Linked DNA regions of Cricetulus griseus. The protein of the gene in region 3 purifies or fractionates together with the protein of the main gene of each other region. This does not show direct contact. Links are inferred from orthologs where the notes say so. Each region holds a gene or a part of one and is shown on either strand. Other genes may lie near its edges. The genes, in order: Asb1, Asb7 and Rnf7.

The links.
Region 1: the proteins of Rnf7 (region 3) and Asb1 purify together in Homo sapiens (co-immunoprecipitation; 3 studies listed by BioGRID and IntAct, with this or other methods). This does not show direct contact. The link is inferred for Cricetulus griseus from reciprocal best matches to the Homo sapiens genes RNF7 and ASB1.
Region 2: the proteins of Rnf7 (region 3) and Asb7 purify together in Homo sapiens (co-immunoprecipitation; 4 studies listed by BioGRID and IntAct, with this or other methods). This does not show direct contact. The link is inferred for Cricetulus griseus from reciprocal best matches to the Homo sapiens genes RNF7 and ASB7.

Annotation. Positions count from the first base shown.
Region 1 is NC_048595.1:443,061,246-443,064,895, reverse strand, and holds part of Asb1 (ankyrin repeat and SOCS box protein 1), read right to left. Parts: intron 2,588-3,650; coding exon 2,441-2,587; intron 1,467-2,440; exon of another isoform or gene 1,461-1,466; coding exon of another isoform or gene 1,369-1,460; intron 1-1,368. UniProt on the Homo sapiens protein: Probable substrate-recognition component of a SCF-like ECS (Elongin-Cullin-SOCS-box protein) E3 ligase complex which mediates the ubiquitination and subsequent proteasomal degradation of target proteins.
Region 2 is NC_048596.1:130,567,257-130,570,906, reverse strand, and holds part of Asb7 (ankyrin repeat and SOCS box protein 7), read right to left. Parts: intron 1,047-3,650; coding exon 441-1,046; intron 1-440. UniProt on the Homo sapiens protein: Probable substrate-recognition component of a SCF-like ECS (Elongin-Cullin-SOCS-box protein) E3 ubiquitin-protein ligase complex which mediates the ubiquitination and subsequent proteasomal degradation of target proteins.
Region 3 is NC_048597.1:205,071,085-205,074,834, forward strand, and holds the start of Rnf7 (RING-box protein 2), read right to left. Parts: upstream 2,402-3,750; 5' UTR 2,308-2,401; coding exon 2,133-2,307; intron 1-2,132. UniProt on the Homo sapiens protein: Catalytic component of multiple cullin-5-RING E3 ubiquitin-protein ligase complexes (ECS complexes), which mediate the ubiquitination and subsequent proteasomal degradation of target proteins.

The DNA.
Region 1 (3,650 bases), on a different chromosome or scaffold from region 3:
ATTTTGGTAGCAAACCCTCAGATTTAGAATACCTTCCGTTGTGTTCTGTTTTCCTTCTCATGGTGCTGAAGATCAAACCCAGGATCCTGTACATGCTATGCAAGAACTCTACCCCTGAGCTACATTTCCAGCCCTTTGAGTTCTATGTCCTGAAAGGCTTCCACAATTGCCCCTACTGAAATCGAGCAGAGAAAATAGGCATTGGGGCCCACGGCAAGGAAGCTAGAGGCTTCAACAGAATAGTTAGCACTAAAACTGAGATTTCTAGTTCTTGGATTCCTAACCCACATTCCAAAGCCTGTTCCTCTACCAAACATATATAGATCCATTGGGGACACAGGGTAAGAAAGGCAGGGCCATGCACGCCCTCTTTTTAGTGACCACCTATAAAGGTTCAAGGCTGGAATCTTCTCCATATAGAGACTATCAGTATTAGTAACATCCTCCTACCCTGACCCAGAGCAACTGAGAACCTAGGAGATCATTAAAATTACAGGGACTGCATTGTTGACCAGCAGTAGCAACAAACTGTCCAGATGCAGCTCCCAGTCAGTATGACCACCAGATAACTATCTACACTGTTCACTGATCCTCCAAGTCAGCAACCAAGGTGTGCTTCACCTCACCATCCACACTGAAGCAGTGTCTCACTAAACCAATTCCTGGTGTTCCTCCTCCAGTCATACATGGGCTGATATGAGCCAATAAAGCCCTGAAACCCTCCAGAATTCACCAACAGAGAAATGTACAGCAAAAGAAAATATGTCAAAGGAAGAGGCCACTCCATGAACCCTGAGTTTAAGAAAAAAGGAGAGAGTGTGGTGGCATGGGTCAATAATCTAGATCTCAGAAGGTGGAAGCAGAGACAAAGGGTCAGGAGTTGAAGGCCAGCTTAGGCTACAAAGCTATATGATGGCCAAATGGGGAGGAAGAGGTGGGGAAAAGGGAGAAAAAGGAAAGAGAGAAGGAAGAGAGAAGAGAGGCAGGGAGAGGGAGGGTAGCACAATAGGAACTTCACTGAACCCTTTCATTCTACTGCTATATCTGTGTGCTTAAGTCTTTCAGGGGCTTAAGTCACATTAAATAAATTTAAATTTTGTGTTTTGTTTTATTAGATTTATTCACTTAACTTCATGTATGAATGTTTTGCCTGCACGGATATTTTTGTACACATGCATGCTTGGTGCCTGTAGCAGTCAGAAGAGATTGTCTCACGTGAGTGCTGGAATTAAATCTGGGTCCTCTGTGAGAGCAACAAGAGCTCTTAACTGCTAAATCATCTGTCTAGTCTGTGTTTTGATTTTTAACTACTGACATGTGCTCTATGAAACAGTGCTAAGACATTAGAAGGATATGAAAGAAACATACTCCTGGCTGGTTAGGAATCCTTTGCTTGTGAATTGTCTACACAAAGGCAGTAGTGTAGGTCTCCCACAGGGACTTCCATCAATTAACTGCATCCATTCCTCAAGGCAAAGTAGAAACACATTTAAGTATAAAGTGCCAGTTTCATGTATTCAGTATCTAATTGGGACTTCATTCACACAAAGAACTCAGGGAAATCATGAGGCCAGGAAAAGAAAACAAAGAAGATGGCAGCCCCACATCCCTATACTGGGAAGTCAGCTGGCCTATGGCTGATCACTACAGACCTGAGAAGTGAAGAAGAGAACATCAGAGGAATGTCAACAAAGTGGTAGTAGGAAAAGAACTACCCAAGATAAAGAGCCGTAAGAGATAGGCTGGAGAGATGGCTCAAAGGCTAAGGGCATGAGCCACTCTTCCAGGGGACCTGAGTTCAATTCCCAGCACCCACATCAGATGGGTTACAATCACCTGTAACCCAGTTCCAATGGATGACCTCTTCAGGCCTCTGTGGCCACCTGTATTTACATGCACATACCCACCCACTCACCCCCACATACACACAATGAAAATAAGTAAAATAGTCAGGAATAGTAGTGCACACCTTTAATCCTAGCACTCAGGACAGAGGCAGGCAGATCTCTGTGAATATGAGGTCAATCTGGTCTACATAACGAGTTCTGATCCAGCCAAGGCTACAGAGTAAGACCCTGCTTCAAATAAATAAATAAAATATCTTTTTTGTTTTTTAAAGAGCCATGGGAGACTTGGAGGGATAAGGTCACTACTGATATCTCTAACATTGCCTTCAAGAAAAACACTGAGGAAACTAATGCCAATGCCCAGATAGGACAAGTTGCCAGAAAACATGAAGGCCAATCACAGGGCCAGACTTGGATCCAGGAACCTCTGCCCACAATATCTGGCCACCAATAATTCTTCCTTTTGTCCCTCCTCTAAAACCAAAAATGCATTCCTGTAGCATCAGTCTTAATCTGCCATCCAAACCACAAAGTCCAGCCTCCTGAAGACCCATAGGCCAATACCTGTTACCAGCCCCAGCAGGGATGCTCACCTTCGGTAGCTCTCCTCTTGCAATAGGTTCCTTAGGGTTTGGAGGTCCCCTACGTAGGCTGCATCATGGAGCCGTGTATCTTCACAGTGCTCTAGTGGATGGTCACAGAACTGCTCCCTCAGCCACTCCTTCAGATTAGGACCTGCACTGAAGAGAGGGGCTCCTATCAGTGTGGGAAATTGTTAGCAAGGCCAATCAAATAGGATGACTTCTGAAGTGGCTCCTTGCTGCCCAGCCACACAGGAACTTTCAAATTCCCAGAAAATAATTCATAAGAGAAAGCTGTAAAGTTCCCTTTATCAAATTAGCACATTCCTGACACCAAAGCTGATAAGAATTTTTTTTCTAAGAAAAGAAAATGTGATGGACTGGGGAACAATGGAACAATAAGTCAATAGTACTTTATAACATAGAAGAACCTAAATAAAGTACTACCAAATTACAATTTAAAATATTATGCCAAAAAAAATCTAGCATGTAATTACTCTAATTTATTGCAAGTATGTAAGAGCGTCTCTGAATTGGGGTATCTGAAAGGAGAATGGCAGCCATCTCCTTTACTACAAAGACAGCTGGTTAGCCAAAGCCTAGGGCCAAACAACAGTTGCTACCTGGAAGGTAGGTGAGCTCCCTACCATGCTGCTCCGAGAAATAGCAGCAGGGTGTCTCGATAAGAAACAATTCAGCAGAGTACTACTGTATCCACAGAGTCCATGTGTTAGAAGTATGGTCCCAGTATGGTAGTGTTGGGAGACAGCAAAGCCCTTTAACCAGTATGGCATCACACTGGGCCACAGTGTCAGGGCAAAGTGTCTTCCTGCAGGACTAAAGAATTTCTCCTGGAATCCTGGCTAGTTCTTATCAGACGGTTATTATAAGAGCATGAGACCAGCCCTCCTAGTCTCTGGCTTCCTGGATATCAGGAGATCACAGCTCCCCCACTGCTGTCTGTTTTAAGGTACCATAGGTAAGGCTTACATGAGAACCTGCACCATGATATTCAGCCTCTAAGGCTGAACTAAATAAATCTCTTTTCTTTATAGTATTTTTTCAGGTATTTTTATTGTAGCAATGGAAATGAAATAACAGGAAATAAATCTCAAAGGCATACATTTTGTATTAAAATCACACTTCAAGAGGCTAGTGAGATATCTCAATTGGCAGTACTTGTCACGAAAACATGAGCCCTTAAGCTCAGATTCCCAACTCT
Region 2 (3,650 bases), on a different chromosome or scaffold from region 3:
CTAGTATCCTTAACCTCCATTATTGGGCTATCTAAATAAGCCAGAGTGGCATTCCTATCATTGGAATTTGGTAATAAAGTGTGGAATCTGGACTATCTCTATAGCTAAGGAATCTAAAACCCCAAACTCTCCTTCTGATTCCTCAATCTGAATCCTACACAGTATTAGACAGACAGGCTATTGTTTGGACCAGTGGGAATTGCCTTGTTCTACCATCAAAACTTGTTCATCCTAAAAAAATGTCTGTCATTTCCTCTAAACTTTACTGTCCACTTTTAGTAACACAATTGGGTTTTGGATGAGTGAGTATTACTTACCAAGTGCGACTTATAGGAATGATTAATGTCTAGTCATCTCGTATTACAAAAATATCTCAAGCAACTCAGAAAGTGTGAATTAAGAGGGAAAGATTCAATAAGAGTAGTAATTATGTTACATACTTGTGACTTCTTGTAAGAAATCCAAACACGGCCGACTACTTCCTGAAATACTTATTGAAACGGCCAGAGGGGTCTGACCTTCATAGTTCCTTGTGTTCGTGTCTGCTCCATAGTTATACAACATCCGTGCACAGAGCACATCATCACGAAGGGCAGACAAGTGCAAAGGAGTCTGTCCGTCTTCTAGGCGCCCCAAGTTTGTGTCTGCCCCTCTCTGAAGGAACATGCGGCAGTAAGAATGATTGCTTTTAATCACAGCATAGCGCAACAGGAATCCGTTCTGAATGTCGATGTTGGCGTTGTGGTCCAGGAGGATTTTCACACAGCTTGATCTCTCTCGGATGATGGCGAGCTGAAGTGGCGTTGTACCTTTATCACTGAGTGGGTCGACCTCGGCCTTAAACTCCAGGAGGAGCCGGACAAATGAGTCCCTACCATAGTGAGCAGCCACGTGGAGAGGAGTCCAGCCATCATTGCTTTTTGCATTAATAATGTCACTCCTGTATTCAGACTCTAACATCAGGCGTGCAATCCGGGCCCGGCCGTGCATGGCTGCGTAATGTAGAGCGGTGAAGCCTCCAATTAAGTCCTTAACCGTAGGATCAGCTAGGGTTAAACCAAAATGAAAACATCAGTAGCTGCTGAGACAAAACAACTCTTATCAGGGCAGGCGGAGTATGGCTCAGCCAGTTATCACAGACTGTGAAGGGGTAAATACTATGAATGACACTGAAGACTTCCCCAGGTTTAGCAGAAGTTGTATCTTAGTGGAAAATACATTTCAGTAGGAATTTATCAAAGCCCGAGTCAGTGGGAGGAGGGGGACAAGAGCAACACTGTTTAAGGATAGACCCCGAATGCAGGCTCACAGCACCTCCCCACTCCTGCTAAGTTAAGTGTGTCTGTTGAGAGGGCTCATCGAAGCCTTATCCCATGGTTTCTCTTTTGTTGTCAGCTATTTGCTGTTTTTTTTCTTTCTTTTTTTTTTTCTCTTGTGCTGCTGCTTCTTGGCTTAAAGAGAAGCATGTGAGCAAGATGGCTGCTCTGAATTACAGTGTCCTGTGGTTGGCCAGACTTGTTTTAGAGTTTAAGAGGGTGGGGAGAGCGGCAAAGGCGAAGACCAGAGGCAGTCTCTGCACTCCACCAGACAATCCGGGGAGACACAGGCTGACTGACAGGACCATGATGAAGCATGTTTGCATGATTAAGATAGGACTTGGAGTTCAGTTATAGATCCTGCGAGTTTATAAGAATTAGCAAGCGCTTATGTGGGGGGAAAAAAATGGAAGAAACCTCAGTACTACTTTGTTTTTAAAAACCAGTTTTAAAACTCTCTCCTAAATCAATAGATCCATGGGAAGAAAAATTCACAAGAATTATCTGCTAAGCGACTGTTCAAGCTACAGACTTTTGCCACCCACTCTGGCCTTTTCAAAGATCAGCACTTTGTAGCTTACCATCCCTGAGCAGTAGGTAGAACAGAGTCACCTCCCCCACAGTATGGACACTGCTTCCTGGAGGCGAGTAAAGCAAACGAGGAAGAGAAACCAGCCCCACCTAACTACTAGCATTAAAATGCTTCTTGTGCAACTCAGTTTTGGGTTTGTTTACAAAAGAAAAAAAAAAACATGAATGTTTTTCACAGACACAAAATGCCCCCAAAGCTATGTGATGAAATACTTATGTGCTATTTAATAAGATCTTATTTCATTCCAGACTATAACAGCTGGGTTCTCTACAAGAGGCTGTGAGGCAGAAAATGATATGTTGAAATATTAATAATAATGTAGCGGGTAAAAATTGCAGTTAAAGAGTTGTTAGCAAATAAAACCTATACAAAGTAAACTATTATTTTAGCTCCTCATAACATCTGATGTAAAGTTACAGCTAACAACCACAGTATCACTTTGATCTGTCTACAAAAACAAAAAGAAAAGAAAAAGGTATCAGCAATGGCCTTAACTAAAAGAATATTCAGTACCTAGGACTATGCAACCCAAAGACAGGCGTGATGCAAAGCACTCTTCTGCCACCTACTGGAAGAGGCTGAACATGCACTAGTCCCCTTTCACTTTGAGCTCAGACCAAACTGCCTTACAGATCCTGCTGATACCTAAAATAGATGAAGTGTTAAGAGTTCTTGCTGCTCTCTCCAAGAACCTGAGTTCAATTCCCAGCAACCGTATCAGGCAGCTCATAAACACGTGCTTCTTCAGCTTCAGCGGATCCAACACTCTCTTCAGGCCTCTGCAGGCATGCACATAAACCCATTCTCCCTCCCCCGCACCCCCATGTAAAAATAAAGATTTAAAAGTAAATGAATAAATAAGTAGAATAGATTAAACGAGGGCAGCCAACTGTTTACAGATAATGCCCCTTGATCTGTCAGTGAAAGTCAGGAACCCCATCTTTTACCCCTCCCACCTTTCATTCACCAGGGATACCTTTGAAGGTGCTAGAATCCTTACACCCTATAGCCATTCTATTTGACAAGTCAGGCTAAAATGCTGTTACACAAAGTTGCTCCTGCATGTTTGGTTTTCACCTTGGGTCTATTTAAGATTCTGCTTACATTCTACTGCTATACTGAACTAAGAAAACACAGATTAGCACAGAGAGCAGTGACCTGATTCATCTCAGCCCAAACCATTCAAACCAATTAACTGACTGCATCCTGCAAGCAGCACACAGAACTGAAAACTACAGGGTAAAAATGTGTAAAACTATAGCTATTGTCTCTAAGAAAAAGTGACAGAATGAATGAAATAACAGAGCACATGAGCAAATGCTACAGGGTCAGGATCAGTCAATGCAACATGATAAGAGCTCACTTGCAATGCTGGTGAAGTCTACAGATTAACGACAAGGTCAGTGAGAAACGTGCGGAATCCACTTGGCTGAATTATCTGCACAACTTCTCTTTATCCGTGAGACTCCCTAAGTGCTCTAGAACAACAATGCTGCCTGGCAGTGGTGGCACACACTTTTAATCCCAATGCCCCAGAGGCAGAGGCAGGGGCAGGGGATCTGAGTTCAACGCCAGCCTGGTCTATAGACAGAGTTCCAGGACAGCCAGGGCTATACAGAGAAACCCTATCTCAAAAAGCAAAAATAAATAAACAAATAAAATAACAACCCCGACAAGCTTCTTGCTCCCCCTTAACAGACACTTTCCCCCACAAGTGAGACCATTTTAAACAAATGGTAGCA
Region 3 (3,750 bases):
AGTATGTGCTCTTCACCACTGAGCCATTTCTCCAGATCCAGAAAGAAAGAGGCCGAGGCAGGAGGACCCCTGTGAGTTCACAACTAGCTTTGTTACAATGTGTTGCTAGTACCAGGGCTAGAGGCATTCAAAAGGTTAAAAAAAATAATAATAAAAATAAACATCTAGTGTGGATTGAAACTACTCCCTCCCTCTTCTCACACTGGCTCAAGCACATGACACACCTGTGCCTGGCTCCAGCTCTGGTGGTCTCTGAACTCTAATGCTAGAATTGTCGAAGGCAGAGATCCTGCCTCACCTCCCGAGTGGTGGGACTAAAGGCCCGCACCACCAACTCCCAGTTAATAGTTTATGTGTATGCATGTTGTGCCTGCCTGTGTGTCTGTGTACCATGTTTATGCAATGCCCACAGAGAAGGGCCTCAGGTCTCTAAGACTGGCATTACAAATGGTTGTGAGCCACCATGTGGGTGCTGGGAATTAAACTCAAGTCCAATTCCCTGGAATTGGAAGAGCAGTCAATGCTCTTAACCACTGAGCCATCTCTGCAGCCCACAGCAATTTAATAAACTCTCACATAATTTATGTTACTTGCATACATTTATGCACCGTATGTGTCTAGTGCCCTCTGAAGCCAGAATAGTGTTGGATAAACTGGAACTGAAGTTACAGAGGGTTGTGAACTGCCATGTGGGTGTGGGAAATCTGTATGGACAATCTTCACTCTTCGGAAACATCTCTCCAGCCCCTGGTTTTTTGTTTTTTTGTTTTTGCTGGAAGCTGGTCTCAAACTCTCCTGCTTCGGCCTCCAGAGCATTACAGGTGTTAACCGACACTTTGGAAACCTATGTTAAGCTGGGATGCAGCTCAGTTGGTAGTTTGCCTAGCCTGAAGGAATTCAATCCCCATCATGCCACAGACATTTCTACAAATTTCATCGCTTGGGAGGAAGCAGGAAGATCTGGAGTCCAAGGCCACCCTGGACTATACAAGACTGAATGAGTCTAAAAGAGAAATAAATAAGAGCTGCGATGGTGGCACACGCCTTTGATCCCAGCACTAGAAACGCAGAGGCAGGCGGTTATCTGAGTTTGAGACCAGCCTGGTCAGCACAGAGAAACCCTGTCAACAACCACCAGGCCCCCCCCCCCCCAAGAGAAACTGACAGAAACAGGGTTCTTTTCAAGGTGGGCTGAGCTCTTAAACTATGTAAAACTCAACGAGATTACGATTTTTTGATACGTTTCATTTGGTCCAACATTTTCGTTCAAAATACTAAAATGTTGGACTACTAATGAGGCCAGGCGTTGGTGGTGCACACCTTGGGAGGCAGAGGCAGGAGGATCTCTGTGAGTTCAAGGTCAGCCTGGTCTACAGAGCAAGTTCCAGGACAGCCTCCAAAATAATACAGAGGATCCCTGTCTCGAAAAAACAGGCAAACAAAAAAATGGACTACTAATGAAAGAAGGTTCTTCGAAAGGGCACAAAAGGGTGGGAAGGGGACATAATTAAGTTTCATGTTTCTGAATCAAGCAAAGGCTTTTCTATCCTTGGATTCCCATAAATCTAAAATACTCTTTTGTCCCTCGCCTCAAGACATGCGAGCTCTATCTGACTCGGTCAATGTAAATTTTAAAAGCCAGCCAAATAGCTGCAGAGAACCCATACAAATGGCTGCGCATCATTTCGGTGGCGACAGAGCCATGAAACAAGATCCGCACGGTGGCGCAGGCTCGTCATCTCCAGAATTTGGAAGGTGCGGGCAGGGGCACCAGGAGTTCAGGGCCAACCTCGGCTAAATGGGCAAGTTCCAAGCCAGCCTGGGAAACATGAGCGTCTCTCCCCCCCAAAATCATTAACTAATCAATTAATTAGTTAATTAATTAAATGAACGCTTAGATCCACGAGAGGGCTCGGCTGTGAGGTCTGCGGGCCGCTGGGCTACCAACACAACCCCGGAGGTTCCCACGGGTTCCGAGAGACGGTCCAGCTGTCTCCTCGGCCACGCCCCCCGCCCCTCCCCGCAGGACTCACCCAGCGCGGGCAGCTCGCCCCCCCCCCCCCCCGTCGCCCGCGAAGCTCGCCCAGCAGGCCGCGTCACGGCCCCGGCCTCGCGTGCAGCGCTTTGCTTACCCATCACCTGGACCCTGCAAATGGCGCAGGTATCGCACTCAACGTCCCAGCTCCACATGGCTACCGCGTTCCACTTCTTGAGGGAGAACATCTTGTCGCCCCCCGACTTGGAGCCCGCAGTCCCGCTGTGTGAGGACAAGACGCAGGTTTCCTCGCCCTCCTCCACGTCGGCCATGGCGGCGGCGCAGAACGGCGACGCGGACGTTGGGCGCTGAGGCGGGAGGTATGGCGGCTCACTAGGGCCCAAATGCACGCCACAGCGCCTCCCGCAGGTCCCGCCGCGCAGCCAGAGGAAGGCGGCGCTGATGGCCTGGCGCGGCCCGCTGACGTCACGCGGGAGGGGCGGGGCCTGCTGATCGTCCGTGGTGGCCTCGGGCGTTTACTGCAGAGCTGGCAGAGGACAGTGAGAGAGCCTTGCCCTGCGTCCTTCTTTACCAAACCCGGAGCTCTCGGAAATCACCTTGTTTCTGCCTTCATTAGACTCCTCTCTCCGAAATGTGAACTATCAGAGTAGGGAGAAAAGGCTCTTCCATCACCGTAACCTCCATATCTTACAAAAAGCCTGGCCACAGGAGGTGTGTGTGACTTGGTACAAGTCACGACTTTAGAGATCCAGGAATCCGGTTCAGTGGGTCTCAATTTGGGCATGGGAGTCTTGGATTTCTATTTCTTTCTTTTTCTTTCCTTCCTTCCATTTTCTTCTCTTTATCTTCCTTCTGCTTTTTTATTTATTTATTTTTAATAAGGTTTTTCTCACTATGTAACCCTGGCTGGCCTGGAACTCTCTGAAGACTAGGTTGGACTTGAACTCACAGACTCATTTGTCTCTGCCTCCGGAGTGTTGGGATTAAGGGTGTGTACCCCTATGCCCCGCATCTTGGATTTCTTTATTTCTTTATTTCTTTATTTGTTGGATTTCTTTACACTTCAAATTTATTAGGACCTTAACTTTTTCGTCATGGTTTTGTTTATTGTTGCCTTGTTTTGGTTTTCCCACACAGGGCCTCTCTGTGTAGTCCTGGCCATCCTGGAACTAGCTGTGTAGACCAGGCTGGCCTAGAACTCAGAGAGTTCCGACAGCCTCTGCCTCCCAAACCTGGGACTAAAGGTGTGGGCCACCACCCCGGGCTTTTGTTTGTTGTTTTGAGACAGGGTCTCACTATGTAGCTCCACCTGGTCTGGAACTCACAGTTTAAACCAGGCTGGCTTTGTATTCACAGAGGTCCATCTGCCTCTGCTGCTCAGATTAAAAGTGTGCACCACCAGCCGTGGGTATTGGGATCTGCAAAGGCTTTTGTTTATGGAAAAGATAGCTGAAATCCAAATCCGTTTATTTGCTTGCTTTGAGGCAGTTTCATCTTTTAAACCAAGTTGGCCTAGGACTCATTATGTAGCCTGAATGGTACTTCCATCATGGAGTCAGTTGTGCTAAGGTCTTGGGGGCCCTCTTACAATTAAGATTAACCTCATGCCTTAGAGTCACTTGGTCTCAAAGCTCAGGGAGGGTTATAGTGTTTTTAAATGCAAAAATCACAAAGACCATAATTCACATGACAAAGTAACCTTGAAACATTCATTCCTGGCAGAAGTTTACTTCAGACACAACACAAAAATTATT